Linked DNA regions of Kluyveromyces lactis. The protein of the gene in region 3 interacts with the protein of the main gene of each other region in a pairwise test. Links are inferred from orthologs where the notes say so. Each region holds a gene or a part of one and is shown on either strand. Other genes may lie near its edges.

Evidence for each region.
Region 1: the proteins of ERG24 (region 3) and ERG2 interact in binary tests that used the Saccharomyces cerevisiae proteins (3 or more experiments, as listed by UniProt). The link is inferred for Kluyveromyces lactis from reciprocal best matches to the Saccharomyces cerevisiae genes ERG24 and ERG2.
Region 2: the proteins of ERG24 (region 3) and ERG26 interact in binary tests that used the Saccharomyces cerevisiae proteins (3 or more experiments, as listed by UniProt). The link is inferred for Kluyveromyces lactis from reciprocal best matches to the Saccharomyces cerevisiae genes ERG24 and ERG26.

The regions. Positions count from the first base shown.
Region 1 is NC_006042.1:615,111-617,909, forward strand, and holds ERG2 (C-8 sterol isomerase ERG2), read right to left. Parts: upstream 1,338-2,799; coding exon 666-1,337; downstream 1-665. Other genes in the region: CSE2 (Cse2p), read right to left, coding at 12-383; NRM1 (Nrm1p), read right to left, coding at 1,812-2,477. UniProt on the Saccharomyces cerevisiae protein: C-8 sterol isomerase; part of the third module of ergosterol biosynthesis pathway that includes the late steps of the pathway. ERG2 catalyzes the reaction which results in unsaturation at C-7 in the B ring of sterols and thus converts fecosterol to episterol.
Region 2 is NC_006039.1:1,635,791-1,638,653, reverse strand, and holds ERG26 (sterol-4-alpha-carboxylate 3-dehydrogenase (decarboxylating)), read left to right. Parts: upstream 1-1,164; coding exon 1,165-2,220; downstream 2,221-2,863. Other genes in the region: CORVET complex membrane-binding subunit VPS8, read right to left, coding at 2,267-2,863. UniProt on the Saccharomyces cerevisiae protein: Sterol-4-alpha-carboxylate 3-dehydrogenase; part of the third module of ergosterol biosynthesis pathway that includes the late steps of the pathway.
Region 3 is NC_006039.1:1,040,545-1,043,717, reverse strand, and holds ERG24 (delta(14)-sterol reductase), read left to right. Parts: upstream 1-1,231; coding exon 1,232-2,557; downstream 2,558-3,173. Other genes in the region: NDJ1 (Ndj1p), read left to right, coding at 1-857; SLI1 (N-acetyltransferase), read right to left, coding at 2,694-3,173. UniProt on the Saccharomyces cerevisiae protein: Delta(14)-sterol reductase; part of the third module of ergosterol biosynthesis pathway that includes the late steps of the pathway. ERG24 reduces the C14=C15 double bond of 4,4-dimethyl-cholesta-8,14,24-trienol to produce 4,4-dimethyl-cholesta-8,24-dienol.

The DNA.
Region 1 (2,799 bases), on a different chromosome or scaffold from region 3:
AATGGTCGAAATCATTGTTTCTGAATACTTTCTCGCAGTCGTTGTAGGTGTTTTGTCTTTTTTTCAAGTTCAATCTTCTTTTCCTGTATATGCAGTTGCCATTGTTCGGGAGTCTTTGAGACTAGCTCAATGGCTGCAGGGTCTTGCTGAAGTAGAGTCTTTGCTGTTTTCAAACGATGCCTTATACTCGAAGTAGCCGCATCCAGCGAATTTGAACTGTTATTTGGATGCTTACTAATTTGTTTCAAAGAATGGTAAAGGAGTGGTATAAATTCAGTTTGTGTTGATGAATGTTTCGTGAGAATTTCATGAATTCGTTTCAAGACATTTAGTTGTTGTTCCCCGGAACTAGGTTCTTGCTCCTTCTCGGTATCACCGGTCATATTAAATCGTTGATTGGGATGGGTTGGAAGCCTTCTTTTTTTTTACTATTCCTCGTTCCCATTCGACTATTATTGAGAAGTCTTCGAAGATTTCGTTAAGCCTTAATTTTTTGGATATATAGCCAACAGATAATTTTATGTAGATTGACAATGATAATATAAAGTGAACCGAGTACTTATATCAATGAATATGTGTGTTTTACTACATGCTCTTGCAGGAAATATCTACTTTAAATATAATTGTACGTACAGGCAGCAAGTTCAGCACTTTCCTTCTTTAATTCAAAACTTGTGATTTTGGATCAAATTCTTGATCATATCTCTTGCAGTCAAATACACCGTTCTGTATAAGGTGTAGATGTCTAAGGTACTTGAGAAAGTGTCGAGGAATCCAAATGGTAGCATGGCTGGAATCCATCCCTGGGCCAATTCCAAAGCAAAGGATCCGCTTGGCATGGAATATTGCTTGGCATAACCTTTTTTCAAGTGATGAGTTTGACCTGGTTTGTAAATTTCAGGTTCCATGTTATATGGCAAACTGGCCCTCTGTTCACCGTAAAGAATGGTGAAATGGTCATCAGCAAAGTGTACACCGGTGTGACCTTCAGTACCAACGGCACTACCGAAAATAATCAAATACTCGCTGATACTAGCATGCAAGATAATCATTTGACCCATGGCACCACCAGCATTGTTGAACACCCATTCTTCATCAACCCATTGGTTGATATAGTCATCACCGTAATGTTTGGCCAATGCATCTCTTAAATCTTTTAGCATCACCTTAACATCGAATGTTTCGGATTCAGCGTCATATTTGCTGATAACAGAATTGGATATCTCGTTCAATGTCTTTGCATCAAAAATGTAGTTGGTTGGCAACCAGGTATATAGTAAACTGTTCAACAGATAGTACGCTGTACCTAGTAATAGTGCAATTTTCAAAAGCTTCATGGCGAATTACTAGTTTCGGAACACAAGACAATTTACTCCAAAAAGATAATTTCTCTCCGTTATATTTCACTTTCTCAACCTTTGGATTAGTAGCTCATCGCCAAATTCACTTTCGCTTATCATACCTTATATATATATATATATATATGGATGTTTTCCATAATTTTTGTCGTTTATGCTCATCGGAAATCCATTCGAGACTGAATTTTTCACACAGTACTCGTTTATATTGAAAACTCAGAAGAAGCTGAAGAAAGGTACGAAATTCAAGAAACTTACCGAAAGCTTAGTCTTGGAGTAACAAGCTATATGATTTACATTATTAAAGCTTGTTTTACTAATACATATGACCATTATTAATGTGACTATATATATGTGTATCTATATAGCCTGTATTTACGAGATGGGGACAGAGAGATGTAGAAAAGAGTGAATTGTGAGTATTATATGATACAGGTGGATCTCATTGCTGGTTCAAGCACCTGTGCTGAACATTTGTAGTAGTGACTTAGCTGCTTTCACTGATACCGGTGTGTATCCGGATGAGATCGCGGATGTTGATGCGTATGGTTTTGCCGGGTACCTTTTCTCCGGTGTGATACATTGGATGTGTTGTTGCGAGCACACTGCCAAGTTTGAAGTCCCATTGTTATTATTATTAGTTCTTGAAGTAGCTTCTATGGCCGGATTCAATCCAGCCAACTTTCTGGATTTCCTGTCATTTTCGGGTTTCCTTATCTTGTTAGCTGACTGTTTCTTGCGACTTACTATTTCTGAGAACTTCAGGTGCACTTGTTTGGTTCTGTACTTATAGTACGCTAGCTGAACCCTTGATCTAAGTCTAAGTATATTTTCATCAGTCAGTTTTGAGTTCTTTTCTGTTAATTCGTTGTTTATCCTTTCTTTAACGTCATGTAGAGCTTGAGGTGGTGTGCTGTAGAACTGGCTGGATGAAGTTTGAGTGTTTAGGACTGATGCTAATGAAATTTCTGAATTGTTGAACGATTCTGTCGATGGACTATTAGAAGGAGTGTTTAGCTGTGGTCTCACAGAACGTTTCCCCTGATGAAGTTTGTTCTCTTGACTCAATACGTTCAGTTTTGAGCTAGATATTTGCCCCAGTGGTAATCTAACTGACATTGTAATTGAAAAACAGCGAAAACTAACAGTAACTTTGTAAATGCCTAACCGACTACTGTTCTATGATGTGTTGTGAAGCTCCTGGTTCTTGTAATGAATAGCAAATCTTTGAGAGAGTAAAGGTCTTCCTTGTCAATTATATATCACAATCCTAACAAAGTATTTACAATTGTCTTCTAAACTGTGAGTTTAATAACCAACGGAAATCGGAAAATCAGTTAACAGCTGTAGTATATGTAAACAACTGTATTAGGATCTGCTTATTTAGTTTGTTGAAATGTCAATCACTGACTTATTCACTCTGGAATATCACTGTGCACAG
Region 2 (2,863 bases), about 600 kb from region 3:
AACACTCCAAAAATTAAATCAATCTTGAGGCAGACAAGCATGCTAATCGTTTCACAGACATTTTTTTAAATTTTTTTTATTTTCTTTGTTGAGATTATTCTTGTAGATATTATCCTGTCACATTGAGCATATGAATCAAAGCTACTCTTAAAATAACAGAAAGGAAAAGCCATGTATCCGTAAAAAAAAGAGAGGCATTGCTCTAGTGTTTTTTCGGATCTCAGCAAACATAAAAAGATGGCTCCTATCCTTTTTAGAGCTTTAAGCCAATTTCACTTCTTATGCTTAAGCAAAATACCATAAATAAATTAATTTTCGGAAACTAAAATTTTTCAAAACATATATTTTATTTTAAAAAATTCAAAATTCCACATTATTTTAATTAAAATTTTTTCAATATAAAATTAATAAAAAAATATTTTTAATTGCAATAAAGTAAAAGTTTAGAAATTTATTTTATATAAAAAGAGAGAAAATGTAAAATTTGATTTTAGTCACATGATGTTTTATGATTTTACTTAATTTTTGAATACATTACGTACGACAGACTCCACTGTCAAGAAGTTGAGCAGGTACTATAATCTTCGTTCCTGTTTATGCGTTTTTACTATTTATTTGAAGGTAGAACTGTTATTGAATGCTAACATTTGTGTTACTTTTGATTGATTTTAGTGAATTTTGCTTTATTTTATAGAATTTAATTATGTTTTTTGTATTTTTTTGAAGAATTTATTTTAACTTATTTTTTATTATTTTCTGAAAATATTTTTTTTATTTATTCTATTTATTATTTGCCATTATCTAAGGATTCTATTGCATATGGACAATTTGTATGTACAAATGAACTAATTAATTGTATGTTAAAGCAAAAATACAACTCTGGCTTAACAACACTCTAACCACTAACAGATCAAGAAACCTAAATTATTGTGATCATTAAGTATAGGAAAGGAGAAACCAATGGCTATTAATTAGTACGTTATCTTTCTATCCGACCATTTCACAATTTGGGAGACACTTTAAATTTGTCGTTTAGTTCTGTTTTAATATTCAGAAAAAAAAACAATTAGAGAATATTAGTTAACGTTAACACGATATTCAAGATCACACCAGGCAAATCGAATTCTTATCATACGTTGAGTCTACGTAAAACAAACAACTACTATGAGTTCAAGCGATGTTAAATCTGTACTACTAATTGGTGGATCTGGATTTCTAGGTCTCCATTTGATTCAGCAATTTTCTGAACTTAAACCACAACCTCAGATCCATGTTTTTGACGTAAGACCACTTCCAGATCGGATCTCAAAACAATTCACTTTTGATCCTTCGACAATTACCTTCCATCAAGGTGATCTAACGTCACCTGCTGATGTTAGAAAGGCAATTGAGACAAGTGGTGCCACGATCGTCGTTCACTCGGCATCTCCAATGCATGGTAATAGTCAAGAGATTTACGAAAAGGTCAACGTTAAGGGAACAAAAAATCTATTAACTGTCGCAAAACAATGTCGAGTTAAAGCAGTAGTATATACCTCATCTGCTGGTGTTATTTTCAATGGTCAGGACATTCACAATGCTGATGAAACTTGGCCAATTCCAGAAGTTCCAATGGATGGTTATAACGAAACAAAGGCAATTGCGGAAGAAATGGTGCTATCAGCAAACGATCCAGAAAATGACTTCCTAACAATAGCATTACGTCCTGCCGGTATTTTTGGTCCTGGTGATAGACAATTGGTCCCAGGTTTGAGGCAAGTCGCTAAGTTGGGGCAATCAAAGTTTCAAATTGGTGACAATAACAACCTGTTCGACTGGACCTACGCTGGAAACGTTGCAGATGCTCACGTACTAGCCGCACAAAAGCTTCTGAATCCAACTACTGCTGCGCTAGTATCTGGAGAAACATTTTTCATCACCAATGACACACCAACATATTTTTGGGCTTTGGCACGCACGGTTTGGAAGGCAGACGGTCATATTGATAAGAGAGTTATTGTTCTAAATAGACCCATGGCTATTGCTGCGGGGTACCTATCTCAATTCTTCTCTAAATTGTTGGGCAAAGAGCCAGGTTTGACTCCCTTCAGAGTTAAAATCGTTTGTGCCTACCGTTATCACAACATTTCAAAAGCTAAAGAACTTTTAGGATACCAACCAAGGGTTGATATCGAAGAAGGTATCAGAAGAACGTTGGCATGGATGGATGAAGGCTTATAAAGGCCAACTCTATATGAATTGTATATATCTATGTCTATCTATAACTTTACTCATCGTCACAAGTTAAACATTTGAAAGCACCCTCGTGTTGGCCCATGTTTTCTAAACAGGAGCTGTGGAAACTGTGCCCACAACTAAATACAACGAGTGCACTGCTACCACTAGCGGCGACCTCGTGGCATCTCGCTGACTCCCACTGTTCAAAGACTTTATTATCGATTCCAATTCCCCATATTTTCTTGCCACATACTTCACACTCATGAGACTGAATTGCCCAACCATGTTCTTTTCTGTGCATATAGGTTGTAATATCTGATGATGCACTTTGATTGATAATCTGTAAAATAAGAAGTTTCACTGTCTCTTCGACAGAATAAGCTGTGAAAATATTCTTCAACACCACTTTAATATCTTTGATTTTACTCAAGATAAGAGATTTGTTTTCAAATATCTCCATTAGGGTCTTCCAGAAAAAGCTCTCCTCCGAGTTTTCGATATCATTCAGGTTCCCATCTGAAAGCTCAATAAATACTTTCTGCAAACTTTTATCACAAAACGCTTTTTGATCATCGGTAAGAGTTGGGTATTGAGAGACCAAGTTTGATATCAATTTAACCCAGTTCTTGTTAGTTTCATCTGTCTT
Region 3 (3,173 bases):
GCTCATTTATCAAAACTTTGAGAACTAGGCTTGCTAGGGAGTCAAGAAATTATAGTCTACTAGTTTGGTTGTTAAATTGTCCAAATATAACCTTAACTCAACGATCGGAACATCAAAAAGAACCATTTCAAGTATTCGAACCACGCCAGAATCGACTTTATCAGCATTATTTGAATATACGACCATTTTCTTATGCTGATGAAAATATTTCAATGGATGCAACGTTGGTGTCAAGTGAATCTCATTGGCCGGATCACTACTCCTATGAGTGCTCAATATTTCCTCGCCTGTTACAAAAGACCAATTACGACCATTTTCAAATGAACAGATTATGTGAAGAGTATCGGCAACAGTTCATTAAAATCATGGAAAATTTCGAAGCTCAAAAACCAAGACATCCTAAATATGCCCAGATTTATCTTCAGCAAAATCTTGGGCTATTGACAAGGGCATACATTCGGGACTTATTCTATGATATTACATTCAAATATTCTGCTTGGTCAAATGCCAAGCGGCTGACAAGAGTGGAGCTTTTGAGGTCTTTACAAAGATATCATAAGGAGTACACCTTCATCATGAGCTGTGATCCGATTGATAATTTCACTGAAAAATTGGACCATTTAACTTGCTTAAATTATGCTTCAAAAGATGAGGTGAATGCCAAACTAACTTACGGAATTTGGATAAATGCAGAGCATGGACTTATACTTCTATGTAACGGTATCGCCCATAGCTGGGACCTTTTACAGATCCCTAGCCATAGCTATCAGAATGACGATAATATTACATTATTTGTGACAAAATATATGCTATTCTGCAATATGAGCGTTCTTGAAACCTGTTTGTGGTTTTTTTAGGTTAATGACATGCCGAGTATCCAGAAAATATAACATTTTTAGTGGATGAACCTGTAATAGCTCGTTTACTGTTCCGACACTGCCAAGGGAGACCTCGCTTATCATTTCAGTGATGACATACCTTACTTCTAATGGAGGTTAGCAATAGAAAAAAACCGGATTAGAGGATTGCCCAATGGTGCGTGTTAAGTAAGCGGTTTACATTCTCAAATAGAACCCTTGCATGTGTTCGTCGTTTAGCAATTTTCGTATTCAAGCATGAACCTTAAAAAAAAGAATAGTATAAAGTAGCGAAAAGTACAGAATTAAGAGAAAGAAGGCTAAATCACTTTTGCATTTAGTATATATTATTATTATAATGCGCTGAATACCCAATGTCCTTAGCAACAATGACAGCTTTAAATCCTAAGACCACTCATTATGAGTTTTCTGGACCGGTCGGAGCCCTTCTGATTTCAGTTTTCTTACCCATTCTAACTGTCATCTTGAACCAGTTGATCAGACCCGACTATCATATCGTAGGGCTATTCAGAAACTTTAGCTGGATCGAAGTTTGGAACAAGGTAAATCCATTATCCAGTTATCTCTTCAATGGTGAGCTTTGGACTTATTACTCTGCATGGTTTTTCTCTCTAGCAGTTTTGGATGTTCTCTTACCAGGCACGAAACTCTACGGTGTCGAGTTGAGAGATGGGTCTAAGCTACCATATAAGATTAACGGAATTGCCGTGTCAATGGCACTTACTTTAGTTTTAGCTGTCAGATATCAATTGACTAATGGTGAAATGCCTGAACTACAGTATTTATTCGAACATCAAACGGACATCTGCATAATATCTATATTGTTTTCTTTCTTGTTGGCTTGCTTCGTCTATATTGGCAGTTTCGTGCCATTATGGGGAACAAATGGCAAAGGAACTAAAGAACGTATTCTTGCTGTGGGGGGCAACAGTGGGAACATTTTGTATGATTGGTTCATTGGAAGAGAGTTGAATCCCAGAATTGGTCCTCTTGACATCAAGATGTTTGCAGAATTAAGACCGGGTATGTTGTTATGGTTTTTGATCAATCTCTCATGCTTACACCACAGCTATAGGGAATCTGGTAAAATTTATGACTCTTTGTTATTGGTAAATGTTCTACAGGGTTTCTATATCTTTGATGGGGTTTTGAATGAGGAAGGGGTGTTGACAATGATGGATATCACTACTGATGGCTTTGGATTCATGCTAGCTTTTGGCGATTTGAGTTTGGTTCCTTTCACTTACTGCTTACAGGCTCGATATTTAGCTGTCTCACCAATTGAGTTTGGCCTGCCCCATAGTACGTTGATTGTTATTATAATGTTACTAGGTTATTGGATTTTCCATTCTGCAAATAAGCAAAAGTCAGATTTCAGACAAGGAAAGCTACCGCAATTAAAATCCATCCAAACTGATAAAGGAACAAAATTATTATGTGATTCTTGGTGGGCTGTTTCCCAGCACATTAATTATTTTGGTGATTTGTTGATTTCTCTGAGTTGGTGTTTGGCCACGGGATTCCAAACCCCACTAACGTATTATTATTTCTTCTACTTTGCTGCATTACTGTTGCATAGACAAAGTAGAGACGAAGAAAAGTGCAGGAATAAGTATGGTGTATTCTGGGAAGAGTATGAAAGAAAAGTACCATACAAAATTGTCCCTTACGTATATTAAATATCCAATTCTACAAGATTCTTATCTGCGCATTCAAACGTTTACATAATAATGCCTATGGCTATGCTAAACTCTGAAAAGTAACTCCGAGTTTTATTGCTAAAGGTAAATATGCATACCAGAGCATCGTTAGAATCTATAAATCCTCAAACAATGGTCTTAAAACTTTGTCAAGGGTTGGAGGATATGAAATATTGACTGTAAGACCACCCAATCTGGTAGAAATTGACGAACAGCATAGTATACTTGATACAAATTTTGGTTGGTGGAACTGAGCATTAAGTAACTGATATTCATCATTAGCAGAAGATGGATCCAAGACACCTAAATTTGATAACTCGAACGCAGTCTCCGGAATGGTTGCAGCATATTTCGACTTAAGAAATTTCGCTACATTGACCTGCTTAAGCAATTTAATATACTCGATCGCAGCTGCGGGATCACTTTTGGATTTTTCTAGTTGTTCTTGAATATTTTGTGCCAGTGACCATTGTTCCAATTCATCTTTAGAAATATCAACTGTACAGGCGGAAACCGAGACATAGTTTCCGACAGCAATTGAGTTTGAATTTTTGTGTAGAACTCTCATGAGGTATGGTCTCATATTCATCGGAAT